Linked DNA regions of Callithrix jacchus. The protein of the gene in region 1 purifies or fractionates together with the protein of each later gene. This does not show direct contact. Links are inferred from orthologs where the notes say so. Each region holds a gene or a part of one and is shown in the gene's direction. Other genes may lie near its edges.

What was found. The genes of interacting proteins can lie anywhere in the genome.
Region 2: the proteins of PRKAR2A (region 1) and PRKACB purify together in Homo sapiens (affinity purification with mass spectrometry; 6 studies listed by BioGRID and IntAct, counting the BioPlex papers as one, with this or other methods). This does not show direct contact. The link is inferred for Callithrix jacchus from reciprocal best matches to the Homo sapiens genes PRKAR2A and PRKACB.
Region 3: the proteins of PRKAR2A (region 1) and AKAP8 purify together in Homo sapiens (affinity purification with western blotting; 3 studies listed by BioGRID and IntAct, with this or other methods). This does not show direct contact. The link is inferred for Callithrix jacchus from reciprocal best matches to the Homo sapiens genes PRKAR2A and AKAP8.

The regions. Positions count from the first base shown.
Region 1 is NC_133516.1:31,471,587-31,475,606, reverse strand, and holds the start of PRKAR2A (cAMP-dependent protein kinase type II-alpha regulatory subunit), read left to right. Parts: upstream 1-1,218; 5' UTR 1,219-1,473; coding exon 1,474-1,735; intron 1,736-4,020. UniProt on the Homo sapiens protein: Regulatory subunit of the cAMP-dependent protein kinases involved in cAMP signaling in cells. Type II regulatory chains mediate membrane association by binding to anchoring proteins, including the MAP2 kinase.
Region 2 is NC_133508.1:121,359,582-121,363,842, forward strand, and holds the start of PRKACB (cAMP-dependent protein kinase catalytic subunit beta), read left to right. Parts: upstream 1-1,461; 5' UTR 1,462-1,555; coding exon 1,556-1,742; intron 1,743-4,261. UniProt on the Homo sapiens protein: Mediates cAMP-dependent signaling triggered by receptor binding to GPCRs.
Region 3 is NC_133523.1:14,076,802-14,080,953, reverse strand, and holds the start of AKAP8 (A-kinase anchor protein 8), read left to right. Parts: upstream 1-1,352; 5' UTR 1,353-1,436; coding exon 1,437-1,587; intron 1,588-1,693; exon of another isoform or gene 1,694-1,971; intron 1,972-4,057; coding exon 4,058-4,096; coding exon of another isoform or gene 4,097-4,118; intron 4,119-4,152. Other genes in the region: AKAP8L (A-kinase anchor protein 8-like), read left to right, coding at 542-637, 724-1,032. UniProt on the Homo sapiens protein: Anchoring protein that mediates the subcellular compartmentation of cAMP-dependent protein kinase (PKA type II).

The DNA.
Region 1 (4,020 bases):
CAGTGGGGATGAGGTGCTCCTTGCTCCCAGTTGCTCAGCTCCCAGCAGCATTGAGCTCCTGGGTGTGTGCCAAGCCTGTATGGGAGGTGCTAGGGAGGATTTTAATTAATACTGGGTAATTACCAGGTGGTGTTTAAGCATCCCAAATGCCTTCAGGTTCCCAAACCTACAGCTACTGTCTTCCTGCCTGGGCCTGGAAAGGAGAGGGGGGGACTCTGCCCTGTGCCCAGTGGGCCTTTTGGTTAGCACGTAGGCTGTGGTCTGATATCCCAGGAAGGTCTTCATCTTTTTTAACTCCCTTCCAGTTTGGAAGGAGGAGGAGAGCAATTTGGGAAATAGCCTGGCCTCTGCAGTTCACTTATACCATCTCCCCAGGGGCAAAGGATAACAACACTTTGTGGTCTGCTCAACTTCATCAAGCAGTGTTGGCCTAGGGTCCAGTGTAGTGTGTGGGGAGAGGAGTGGGCAGACCTAGACCTGTGGACCCTGGTGAGAGTGCTCCAGGAGGAACAGGCACAGAAGTCTTTCCTGCTTTTGGCCTTACTTCCCTTTCTCACTGTATTCATTTGGCTGAGTGAACTCTTTCAAATTTATTTTCTGCCAGTGGCTCTCAAATTATGATGTCACTGAAACGCCTACTTCCTACAAGGCCTTCCGCATTTGACGTCTCAGAGACCTGCCAGACTCCTGAGTTAATTCACCATTCCACCTGGCAGCCACGGGAGTCCTGACTCCACCAGGCCTTTGCTCTTGTTCTATGTTCAGATAGCTTTCCTCCAGATCTTCGCCTGGTCGGGTCCTGCTCAGGCCTCAGGGCCAGCTTGAATGTCACCCCTGAAAGTGAGCCCTCTCTTGCCCTTCATCACAGCAGAACCACACTGAGGTGCTCATATGTTTCTGCGTCTCGCTGTGTCTCTGGTGCTAAGTGCCAGCAAACAGGAGACTCTTGGCATTTACTGAAAGAATAATTTAAAGGTCTTCAGGACCAGGCGAGAGGCACTAATCGGTCCTCTTCATGGGTAGACCATTCATTACTTAATTCCCTGGATTCCCGCTGGGAGCTGGCAGCTGGAACCCTCCACTGCCTTGACCCCCCGACAGTCCAAGGGGCGGGCCGCCCAGTGGCGCAAGCGCAATGAGGGCCGGTCCTAGGCGGGGACGCGCACGTCCGCGGACGCGTGCGACACAACCAGGGTGCCCGCCCCGCTCGTCCCCCTCGCCTGCCCGTCGGTCCCCGCGGCGGCAGCGGCTGCCCAGTGACAGCGGCGGCGGTGCCAGGCCGGCCGTGGTAGCGTAGGGTTGCACCGCCCGGAAACGCAGAGCCGGCCAAAGAGCCGCGCGACGCGAGGAAGGCCGAGCCTGGGCCGCGCGCTTAGAGACCTTGCGGGCGGGGAGCAAAAGGCCGACGTGAGTGAGCGCGGAGACAGTGGCCGCAGGCGGCCCAACCCGTCCGTCCCCTCAGCCGCCGCCGGCATGAGCCACATCCAGATCCCGCCGGGGCTCACGGAGCTGCTGCAGGGCTACACAGTGGAGGTGCTGCGACAGCAGCCGCCTGACCTCGTCAAATTCGCGGTGGACTACTTCACCCGCCTGCGCGAGGCCCGTGCCCCTGCCTCAGTCCTGCCCGACGCCACCCCACGCCAGAGTCTGGGCCACACCACGCCAGAACCCGGCCCAGACCACGTCGCCGACGCCAACGGGGACAGCGAGTCGGAGGAGGACGAGGACTTGGAAGGTAGGCTGTGGGCGGGGCCCTGGGGAATGGTGCAGGAGATCTCCAGAGGTCTAGAGGGGTGGCGGGGGGCCGGTTGTCGCGCTGGGGGCCAGCCGACTGCGGGCTGAGACTGGGAGCTTCTAGCGCTTCCCTGAGACACCGGCGTGAGCCCGCGTGCGCCACTTCCAAACTGAGTTCCGCGGTCCTGCGAGCCCTGGAACGTACCGAGTCAGATTCAGTCTTGAAGGAAACCTGCGCGTTGTCGGCCCCGCCAGAGGATCCCTCACCTTGTCTTGAGACACTTCACCAGGTTTGGCTTCGAAGACAAGAGCATTCACATCCAGTGACTCGTGTTTAATTGATAGGACAGTAAGTTTGTTTGGAAATAATTCATTTTTTTGAAAAGTTACTGTGAAAACTTTTAAACATAGATAAAAGAGGAAAGGTGAGATAAATCCCTCTATGCCATCACCTATATTTAACGGTCGTATTTGTCACAAAGTTTCATCTATACCTTTTTTTCTTTCTTTGCCAAAGTTCATTGAAGCAAATCTCTCAGGTCATTTCACTTCTGCTTACTTGAGTATGTATTTCTTAAAATATGGTACCTGGGAAATTCCTATTTTAAAAAATTTGGCCAAAATGATTGAATCAAATTTGGCGAGAGTAAATAATTATCTTGCCAGCCGGGGCAGTGGGGCCCTGTAGTCCCAGCTACTCTGAAGGCTGAGGGAGAGATATCCCTTGAGTCCAAGAGTTGGAGACCAGCCTGGGCAAAATAGACACCCTACTCCACTTTAAAAAAGGAAAAACCTGGCCAGGTGTGGTGGCTTACTCCTGTAATCCTAGCACTTTGGGAGGCGAGGCCTGTGGATTACCTGAGGTCAGGAGTTTGAGACCAGCCTGACTAACATGACGAAACCCTGTCTCTACTAAAAATACAAAAATTAGCTGGGTGTGTGGGGTGGGGGTGCCTGTAATCCCAGCTGCTGAGGAGGCTGAGGCAGGGAGAATCGCTTGAACCCGGGAGGTGGAGGTTGCAGTGAGACAAGATCATGCCACTGCACTCCAGCCTGGGCGACAGAGCAAGACTCTGTCTCAGAAAAAAAAAGGAAAAACCCAATAACTATCTTCTTGTTTACTCTGGGTTGTAGCTTTAAAGCAAAGGATCCCAGCTGAGACTGTGAGGTCAGGAGAGCAGCTTCATTGGTTCTGCTTGCTGTGCCAAGATTTATCATTTAGTAATAGTAAACCTTTTTCAAGAGTATGCAGTAAGAACTGAGCAGGAAACAAGTTGGAAACTGTCCCTCTCCTCACAAAGTTGGTGATCCAAGATCATCACACTTTTTTTTTTAAGACAGGATCTCAAAAAAAAAAAAAAAAAAATGTATCTCACTCTGTTACCCAGATTGCAGCATAGTGGTACAATCAGGGCTCAGTGTCAAGATTTATTATTTAGTAGTGGTCAGTAAACCTCCAAGAGTATGCAATCAGGACTGAGTAGGAAACAAGTTGAGAGTGTCCCTCCCCTCACAAAATTGATGATCCAAGATCATCACAGCTATTTTTTTTGAAAGACAGGATCTCGCTCTGTCACCTGGGCTGGAGTGTAGTGGTGCAATCAGGGCTCACTGCAGCCCCAACCTCCTAAGCTCAAGGTATTCTCGCACTTTGGCCTATCACGTAGTGGGGACTATAGGCATGTGCCACTACAAAGTGCTTGGCCTCCCAAAGTGCTGGGATTACAGGCAAGAGCTACTGTTCCTGGCCAAAATAACACTTTCTACATCTGATCTAAGCAAGGGTGTTAAGAAACAATTAGAGTTTCCTTGTTTCTTCAACATATGCTTTGTCAATTTAAGAGTAGAATTGGCTGGGCACGGTGGCTCAAGCCTGTAATCCCAGCACTTTGGGAGGCCGAGGCAGGTGGATCACGAGGTCACGAGATCGAGACCATCCTGGTCAACATGGTGAAACCCCATCTTTACTAAAAATACAAAAAATTAGCTGGGCATGGTGGCGTGTGCCTGTAGTCCCAGCTCCTCAGGAGGCTGAGGCAGGAGAATTGCCTGAACCCAGTAGGCGGAGGTTACGTTGAGCCGAGATCGTGCCATTGCACTCCAGCCTGGGTAACAAGAGCGAAACTCTGTCTCAAAAAAAAAAGAGTAGAATTAGCCTACTTTTGAACAACTAAAATTTAACAAAACAATGACACCATTTGAGAGGCCAAGCTAGAATCTTAGTGTTATCAGATCACACACACAAAACTAGTTCTGAGTTGTATCTGGTCTGGCCTAGTATTCAAG
Region 2 (4,261 bases), on another chromosome or scaffold:
AGATTTTTTAAGATAGATTGTTTTAGATAGATCTTTTTTATTCCTTTCCTTCCCTTCCTTTTTATTCCCCACCCCTCCCCTCTGCCTCCAAAGAAAACCACACAAATTTCTTACCCTTTAGTGCCAAAAAACAAGTACTCAAAATGTTTGTTAAATGCCACCAGTTACTTTCATTCCTGAAAATCAACAAGGCAAATTTTATTTACTTTTAATCAAAAGAGATGTTTTGCCCAAGTGCGGTGCCTCATGCTTGTAATCACAGCACTTTGGGAGACCAAGGTGGGCATATCGTTTGAGGCCAGGAATTTAAAACAACTTTTGGCCTGGCCAACATGGCGAAACCCCATCTGTATTGAAAATACAAAAAATTGGCCAGGCGTGGTGGCGGCACACGCCTTGTAATCCCAGCTTCTCGGGTGACTGAGGGGCAAGGGCGAAACCCCATCTCTACTAAAAATACAAAAATTAGCCAGGCATGGTGTCACGAGCCTGTAATTGCAGCTACTCAGTGGCTAAGGGACAAGAATCACTTGAACCCAGGAAGCGGAGGTTGCAGTGAGAGGAGATTGCACCACTGTGCAGTCTGTCTGGGCAACAGAGCAAAACTCTGTTGATGTTGTTGTTGAGAGAGAGAGAGAGAGAGAGAGAGAGAGAGAGAGAGAGAGAGAGAGATGTTTCTAAGTGAGATCACTAAATCAGGGATTTAGGTAAGTAGTAGTCTTCAGTGGTAAGATTTTAAAATTAGCATGTCTCAGCCAACTAGAAAGAACATTTTTTTCTCTCAATTGAAATTTCTTGGTATGGCGGATTTTATGTAATTTAAATCTTGTATTTTGTTATTTTTTTCAAATTTTAGAATGTTTTAAAATATACTCCTGGTAATAGATGTATATCAGCAGATTATAAGTTTGATAAGCAATACTGACATACTAAGTGTCTGTAGTTCTGTATGTATTAGACCTAAATCAATGTATTAGAAACTTTCCATTTTTAAAAGTGCTATTTCAGATTGTTTTATTTATATGTTTTATAAATTTGTTTTGTAATATCCATTTCATACTAGTTTTTTTGATGAAAAGTTAGCTGTTTATAAGGATTCATAAAATCTGTATATTAGTTGATTTCCTAGAAAAAAATACAGCCTGTCTTTAGCATGTTGTATTTGGAGGACAGCTTGGCCTTCAGTTGTTTGCATAGACTTGTCATACATGTTTAACTAGTTTTATTTAAATGTTCAGCCTACTAGTTTTATATTTAATGCTCTCATTGCATTGACCTGTATATTAATATTAAAACACCCAAACACAAAGCCTTTTAGGCAGATATTGCAAGTTTTTAAAATCCTCATCTCTAGCTGAGATGAAAAGTGTTTTGCTAAGAAAAGCTCAGTAATGTGCTGTTTTATATTAACAGGAAACAGAACAGCAGTAGTGGTTTGAATACCCTGCAAACAGGAAGTTTGAGACATGCATAGCTCTTAGCTTCTGTGTAAGAAGTTGTGAGCTCTTTCTGGGAATATTTGCAGTTACATTAAGTAAAGTGTAAATGCACATGAATGGCAGCTTATAGAGAACCACCTTGTAACCAGTATACAGGTACAACTACAGCTCTTCAGAAATTGGAAGGTTTTGCTAGCCGGTTATTTCATAGACACTCCAAAGGTACTGCACATGATCAGAAAACAGCTCTGGAAAATGACAGCCTTCATTTCTCTGAACATACTGCCTTATGGGACAGATCAAGTAAGTTTTATTTTTTAAATGCTACGTTATAACTAGCAGCTAAAATGGTAATTGGAGTTTTACAATCAAACATAAAGAACCCTCTTTTGTTTGTCGTTTTCTAATTTTCACAAGGACATTTTACAAGATAAAGTTAAAAGAATTCCACAAAAACTTGATTGTAAGTTGAACTGAATCATGCAGCTTTCATCGTTGTATGGTTTTATTTCTGACAATTTAAGTTCAATATCGGTGACAGAGTTTTCTACAAAATACTTAAGATTTAGAAACAATCATCTGTTTACTTCTTAAAATGTTTTGTATTTTTAAGCTTTAAACTTTGAAAGGGCAACAAGACTCTTGAATTTATAATTAGATTTCTATTGTGTTTGCCATGTTTTTATTTTTAAATGCATGGGTGAAAGTTATTTCAGTTTTACAAACAGGAATTTAAAAAATAAAACCATAATTATTCTATTTAAATTCTTACATTTATAACATGGCTATCAAAACTTTATATTTCATGTTATTTATACATATGACTGAAATGCAGGAAAAAATTGATTATGCATGAATCGCATTCCTTCCAGGCACATTAAAATGTTTGGACTTACTACTTTGCTTAACTGGTACCATGGAACCATTTTTGGTGCCATACACTCTAAAAGATAAGTTGCACATATAAACAATACTAGTGCCGCCATTCTTCATCTCACCTTGGACCCTCCTTAATGTATTTTTGTCACTCCGATTAGAGGAACAATAGAATTACCCTTGAAACTTTTGCCCTCTTTGGTGTGTTTGTTTGATCATCAGATAGCACTAGGGTTTGATCTTTCTGTTTATGTATTCGATAGCAGTTAAGGAAGAAAATTCAGTTTAACAACAGCCAAGCAAAATCAAGAATGGCTTATAAAAGTTACTTATAGGTTTATACAGCACCTTAACAGTGTTATAGAAGCTTATTTGAATTAATTTTTTACTGAATCAGAAATTTTTTTACATTCTTCAAACTATTTTAGGGAGATTGAGGAAGAACATATATTTGTACACTTTTTTCCACTTAAAAGGTTTTGGGTTAAAGTAGTCTTTACTTTATAGCAAGTTGATGGATTAGGAATATGAATTATATATATACATACATATATATAAAATCAAGTTAATGAACTGTTGAATATTGAAATAATGACATATTATTAAACTTTACCATGTAACAGTAACAATAGCTTATTAATTGTTATCTTTGCCTTATTCTTTTAAATTGCAGTCTCCTAAATCCTTTTGAAAATTATTTATGCATTTCAAATATATTTTAATTTAAAGTTAAATGAGGAATAAAGACAGAATTGAATTAATTTCTGTTTCATTAATACCTGCTCCTTGTATAGTGGATGTTTAGTAAAAATGTCTCAAATAAATTAATGTTAGGGGTTTTTAATAATTAAAAGGTATGTTTGAACTAGACTTTCACCACTTTTTAAATGTATGGGACCTGCAATGCTTTCTAAAACACATTTTAAAATCTAGTAATGGAAAATAGTATAAGCCATGGTTTCTATTGGAAAAACAGACTGATAAAATGCTGTTTTTCATTTATTTTTAATCGTGAAGTCAAAACAAATAAAATCATTGTTCACAAAAAATTAGGAGCAAACCATGTAGCCCTGCAAATAATATACATGGTGTAAGAAATACTTAAAGATTAACTGAATGTTCATTAAAGTATTCCTTTACTTGACTCTCCTTTTTATATCCCCAAATACCATAGTAGAGATAATAATTTTATATCTAAGGATGAGTATGGTAGCATGAAGCTCTAATTATGAAATGTGTTGATATGGAGGAGAAAACAGTGATAGAGCTGAAATAGAGGAATCCTATCATTTCAAAATTCCGAGGTTTATTTTTATGGTGAAAACATAATTTTTATTCATTTGGCAAATTAGCTATAGAAGGAGTTCTGACTGTACAAAGTTTCATATGAACCACATTCTTCAAAGCTTCCTAAAGCAGTTTACTTGTATGACTCGTTTGACAAGAAAGGGGAATGTAATGTCTCCTGATGATAAACACTGAATATATTTGTTCCTAAAGTGTTTTTTTAAATGAAATCAACTAAGCATAGAAACTATACCAAGTTACAAAAAAATTAAGTTCATAAACTGTTGTATAAAAATTGATTACTAATTTAGGAGATATGAAATGCATCAAGCTTTAATCCAAGTTTCTTTCTTGTCCAGTGACATTATATGTAGGAAGAAACACAGAACAAAGACCACATAGTGGTCTCCAGGTGTTTCATCCTTTACTGTTAAACTTACAGAAATTCATGTTTGATTAAATAAATGTGTAACAGCTAATTGCATGCACATATAAATACATGAAGTTCATAGAAAAGCATGGAGGAATTCTGCTTTTTGTTCCAACTCAGAATGAATGAGAGTATTGACATTCATTAAGTTCTCTTTCTAGCAAATTTATTATGGTTAGCTTTTTAATCTTCGTTAGATCATAAATGTGTAAAGGTATATAATGCTGAC
Region 3 (4,152 bases), on another chromosome or scaffold:
ATAAAAAAATAATGGAAATAGTTGATCCTCCCACCAGCAGAGAAGTGTCTCTAACCTTGCATGACTGGGAAGAATTTTTCATTCTTGGAATTCTGTGGGTTAAAAAGACGTTTCATTAAATATCTGTTCCTGCTTTTATATCCTCCCCGTTGGCCCCAAAGTGCTCCTTGCCTGTTAGCCTAGTTGTCTCCTTGATACGGGTTTTGCACCTTTGGCTCTTAGTTTGATTTGTTCGCTGCTTACAGCTTTTTTGTAAGCAAACCAGAATTCTGTAATACAGCCATAAAGACATACAGAGATCTATAGATCTGTATTTTTAATCACCTACAGTAATTGTGTGGAAGGAGAGGGAATTTGAACAAAGATCAGATAGATCGTGGTTCCCTGCTTGTAGAATGGCCCTTCGTTGGTAGGGCTGCGCCCCAGGTGTAAGTGCGTGGGTGTGGGGGCGGGGGTGGTCCCTCTGAGCTGGCAGGGTGGGGGTGGGGGAATTACAGGTCACCTAGAGCAGCCTCTCCAGCCCCTTCTGCCCTGCCTGCAGCTCATGATGGAGCAGTCCAAGAAGTCCTCGCTCATGGTGGCCCGCAGCATCCTCAACAACAAGCTCATCAGCAAGAAGCTGGAGCGCTATCTGAAGGTGAGCCGCTGGTCCCGCGCTGGCCCTGACCCCAGGCCAGTCCCCGCCTGTGCTCCCTCGTTCAGTGTCCGCGCCCCTCCCTGCAGGGAGAGAACCCTTTCACCGACAGCCCCGAGGAGGAGAAGGAGCAGGAGGAGGCTGAGGGGTGCGCCCCGGACGAGGGGGCGCAGGGCGAAGCGGCAGGGGTCTCGGAGGGTGCAGAGGGCGCGCCGGCGCAGCCCCCCGTTCCCCCAGAGCCGGCCCCAGTGGCCGCGTCGCCACCACCACCGCCGCCCCCAGAGGAGGAGGAGGAAGGTGCCGTGCCCCTGCTGGGAGGGGCGCTGCAGCGCCAGATCCGCGGCATCCCGGGTCTCGACGTGGAGGACGACGAGGAGGGCGGCGGGGTTGCCCCGTGACCTGAGCTCGGGGCGGGCGGGGCCCGTGGGGCCGAAGCTGGAAACCAATCCTAATAAAGTTTTCCATCCCATCTCCAGCTTTCTCGGTGACTGCCTCGCCGGCGGGGCGGGGCAGGGCGGGACTGGGCTCGGGCAGAGAAGCTGGATGCGCATGCGCAGGGGCTGGGCCCTCTGGCACAGCAGCCGCACCACAACTCCCGATACGCTACGGATGCGGATTCTGAGGAGCCCGAAAGGCCAGATGGGACGGCGGGGGCGGGCCTTTTTGAAGACCTGCCAATAGGAGCGCGCGGAAGTAGTGACGTAGCGCCTGATCTTCCAGTAGTCGACGGTGGAGGTGCGTTGAACGCATGCGTCCCGTGGCCGCCTAGTAAAAGGGGTTGCTGGTGGGCCGCGTCGAAGCCATGGACCAGGGTTACGGAGGTTTGTGTTGGCTGCTGGGCGCGGAGCGGGGAGGAAAGGCGCTGTGCGGGCGGCGCAGCCGCAGCGCAGACGGCCACGGGCCGGGGCTTCGTCCGGAGCGTGGTTGCCGCAGCCGGGACCTACGAAGAGGAGGTCGGGGCGCGCGCGCGGGCGCGCCGCTCATTGGGTTTTGGCGCCGTCGCTCCCGGGGCGCTGCGTGCGGATTGGCCGTCAGGGCCTGAGGAGGCGGGCGGGACTCGGGGTTGGGGTAGAGGCCGCGGTGGGCTTTATGTGGGGGTGCCTTGGGCCGTGTGGGCCGTTTCTGCCTCGCAGCTTCCGTGGGGCCCGTCCGGTCCCTACCGACACCGGTGTTCGCACTCCCGACTTCCTCTTCCGAAGACGCCACAAAATGGCGGCGCTAGGGGGTGGAGCCACAGCGTGGGGTCCTGAGGTCCGGCCCGGGGCCCGGAGTCTGGGGCCGCCGGCTGACCGCGGGGGCTGCCTTTCTGCAGGCTTGTCCTAGGCCTGCGGGGCCAGGTGGGGGCCTCCGCTGGGCTCACGTGGCTCAGGGAGCCTGTCCCAGAAGCTGTCGGGCTGCGTGAGGTCGGCCCTTTAGTGCCGGGTGCAGCGTGGTGGGGTCGAGTGTGGCCGGCGCAGGAGTCAGCTTTGCCGGGCTCCAGCTCCGTACCCGGCCTGTGTTGTCCCGGGACAGGATAGTGAGGGGCAGGTGCTGAGTGTTGGTGCAAAGCTGGAAACCTGATGTGCCCTGGGGCTGGTGACAGATTAGCCGTTCTCCTTTAGGCAGTCTGTTGGAGGGGCCAAGGAGCTGTGCAAGAGGGAACGTGCCCTTTCCCCACTTGGTTTTAGCGGTTTCCCTGCAGTAGATCCGATCTTCTCTAGCTGCCTGCTCCCAGCTTGTGGAATCAGAGCCCTCTGAGAGCCAAGTTTGCCCACGGGATATTTGGGACATGCTGGGTGGGGCTCGACTGGTTGTAGAGAAGCTAGTGGTGTGATCCTGGCTGCAAGAGCTCGAGAAGTTGTCGGTCTTGAGAAGTGTCAGGGCAAAAGGATCCCAGCAGCAGAAATTGAGGACAGAGAGGGGTCGGTTCTGAGGTGGGAGCCTGTGCCCGTGTGCTTTAGGTGTGTACCAGACCCACAGCCTAGGTAGATTTCACTATTCTTTTCCTTTCTTCCCATCAGATCTTTTTTGCAGGTGCTGTATTCCTCTTTTTCAGTCTTAATTTGGAGATTTGTTTTGTTCTTGAGACGGAGTTTCGCTCTTGTTACCCAGGCTGGAGTGTAATGGCACGATTCCGGCACACCGCAGTCACCGCCTCCTGGGTTCAAGCAATTCTCCTGCCTCAGCCTCCCGAGTAGCTGGGACTACAGGCGCGCGCCACCGTGCCCAGCTAATTTTTGTATTTTTAGTAGACCAGGATGGTCTCGATCTCTTGACCTCGTGATCCACCTGCCTCGGCCTCCCAAAGTGCTGGGATTATAGGCATGAGCCACCGCGCCCAGCCAGTTTGGAGATTTTTTTACCCACTCTTCCTATCTCCTGAAAACCTTTCAGACTTAGTGGAGATACTTCAGCTTCCCTGATTTCTTGTGTTTCAGGGAGGGTTTTCAGGTTGACTTAATAGCGCATGCCACTTAAGGAAGCAGTCTTACGAGGTTGGTTACTTGCTGTTAGAATACGGATACAGATTTAGAGGGCCTTGCAGTATGACAGGGAAGGGAAGGCATAGCATAGCAGAGGGCAAAACTCAGCAGTATGACTGGGTCAAGTCTCATAATCCATGAGCCTAGTTCCCTTCTCCCGAATGGCATTCTGGAACAACAGGGTTTTCTTTGTACTTGCCGTGTATCGGCACACACTAGGCGCTTAGAGGTGGGGGGTGCTCTGTTGAGGTAGACAAGGATGTATTCCTCCCTTATCAAAGTGAAGTCTTTTGACAAGCATAGTGGCTTCTCAGCTCAGTGCTGGGTCCCAGGAACACAGAAATGAAGAGAATACAGTTCCAGTCTTCTTTCCTGGAGGGACCAGACAGATGCCATAGTGGGCAGGGGTGTTGGAAGGGTGAGGAGTACAGAGTCTTAAGGCCAGGCCAAGACTCTGGGACTCTTAAGGATTCAGGGGATCCTTAGAGGGCTTAAAGTAGCAGGAAGTGCAGCTTAGAGAGTTGCAGTTTATGCCACCAAATTCCCATGCTTGTTTCCAATTATGGGGTCCTTGTGATGTCAGTCTCAGCCAGTTTCCTAGCTGTGTGATGGGTGGGGGAATGTGTCCTCATGGTGAGTGGATTGCCTTGTGTTAGCCTCAGTTGTGGAGCGAAGCTTGGAAGGGTAAGCTCCTGGGCCAAAGTTTCTCTGCATGGCAGAGCTGACTTCCAAGCCCACTTCCCTCTCCCCTTTTTCTGCTTTGACTTCAGCCAGGTGGAGTGTGATGATATAAGAATTAGCCAGCTGTGGGAGGGCCTTTGGAGGTGGGGGTGGGTTCTTCCTTTTTGTACAGCTGGCACTGAACTGCAAGGAGATCCCTTTAGGCTCCTCAGAGTACCCCCAAAAGGACCCATTCTCTAGTGTGACAAATAGAATCTTAACTCACAGGGTCTTCTTGCAGGCTATGGTGCATGGAGTGCTGGACCTGCCAACACCCAGGGTAAGTGGGCTCTGCTTTGCAGGTAAGGCATGGGCTTCCCCTACACTCAGGGCCCT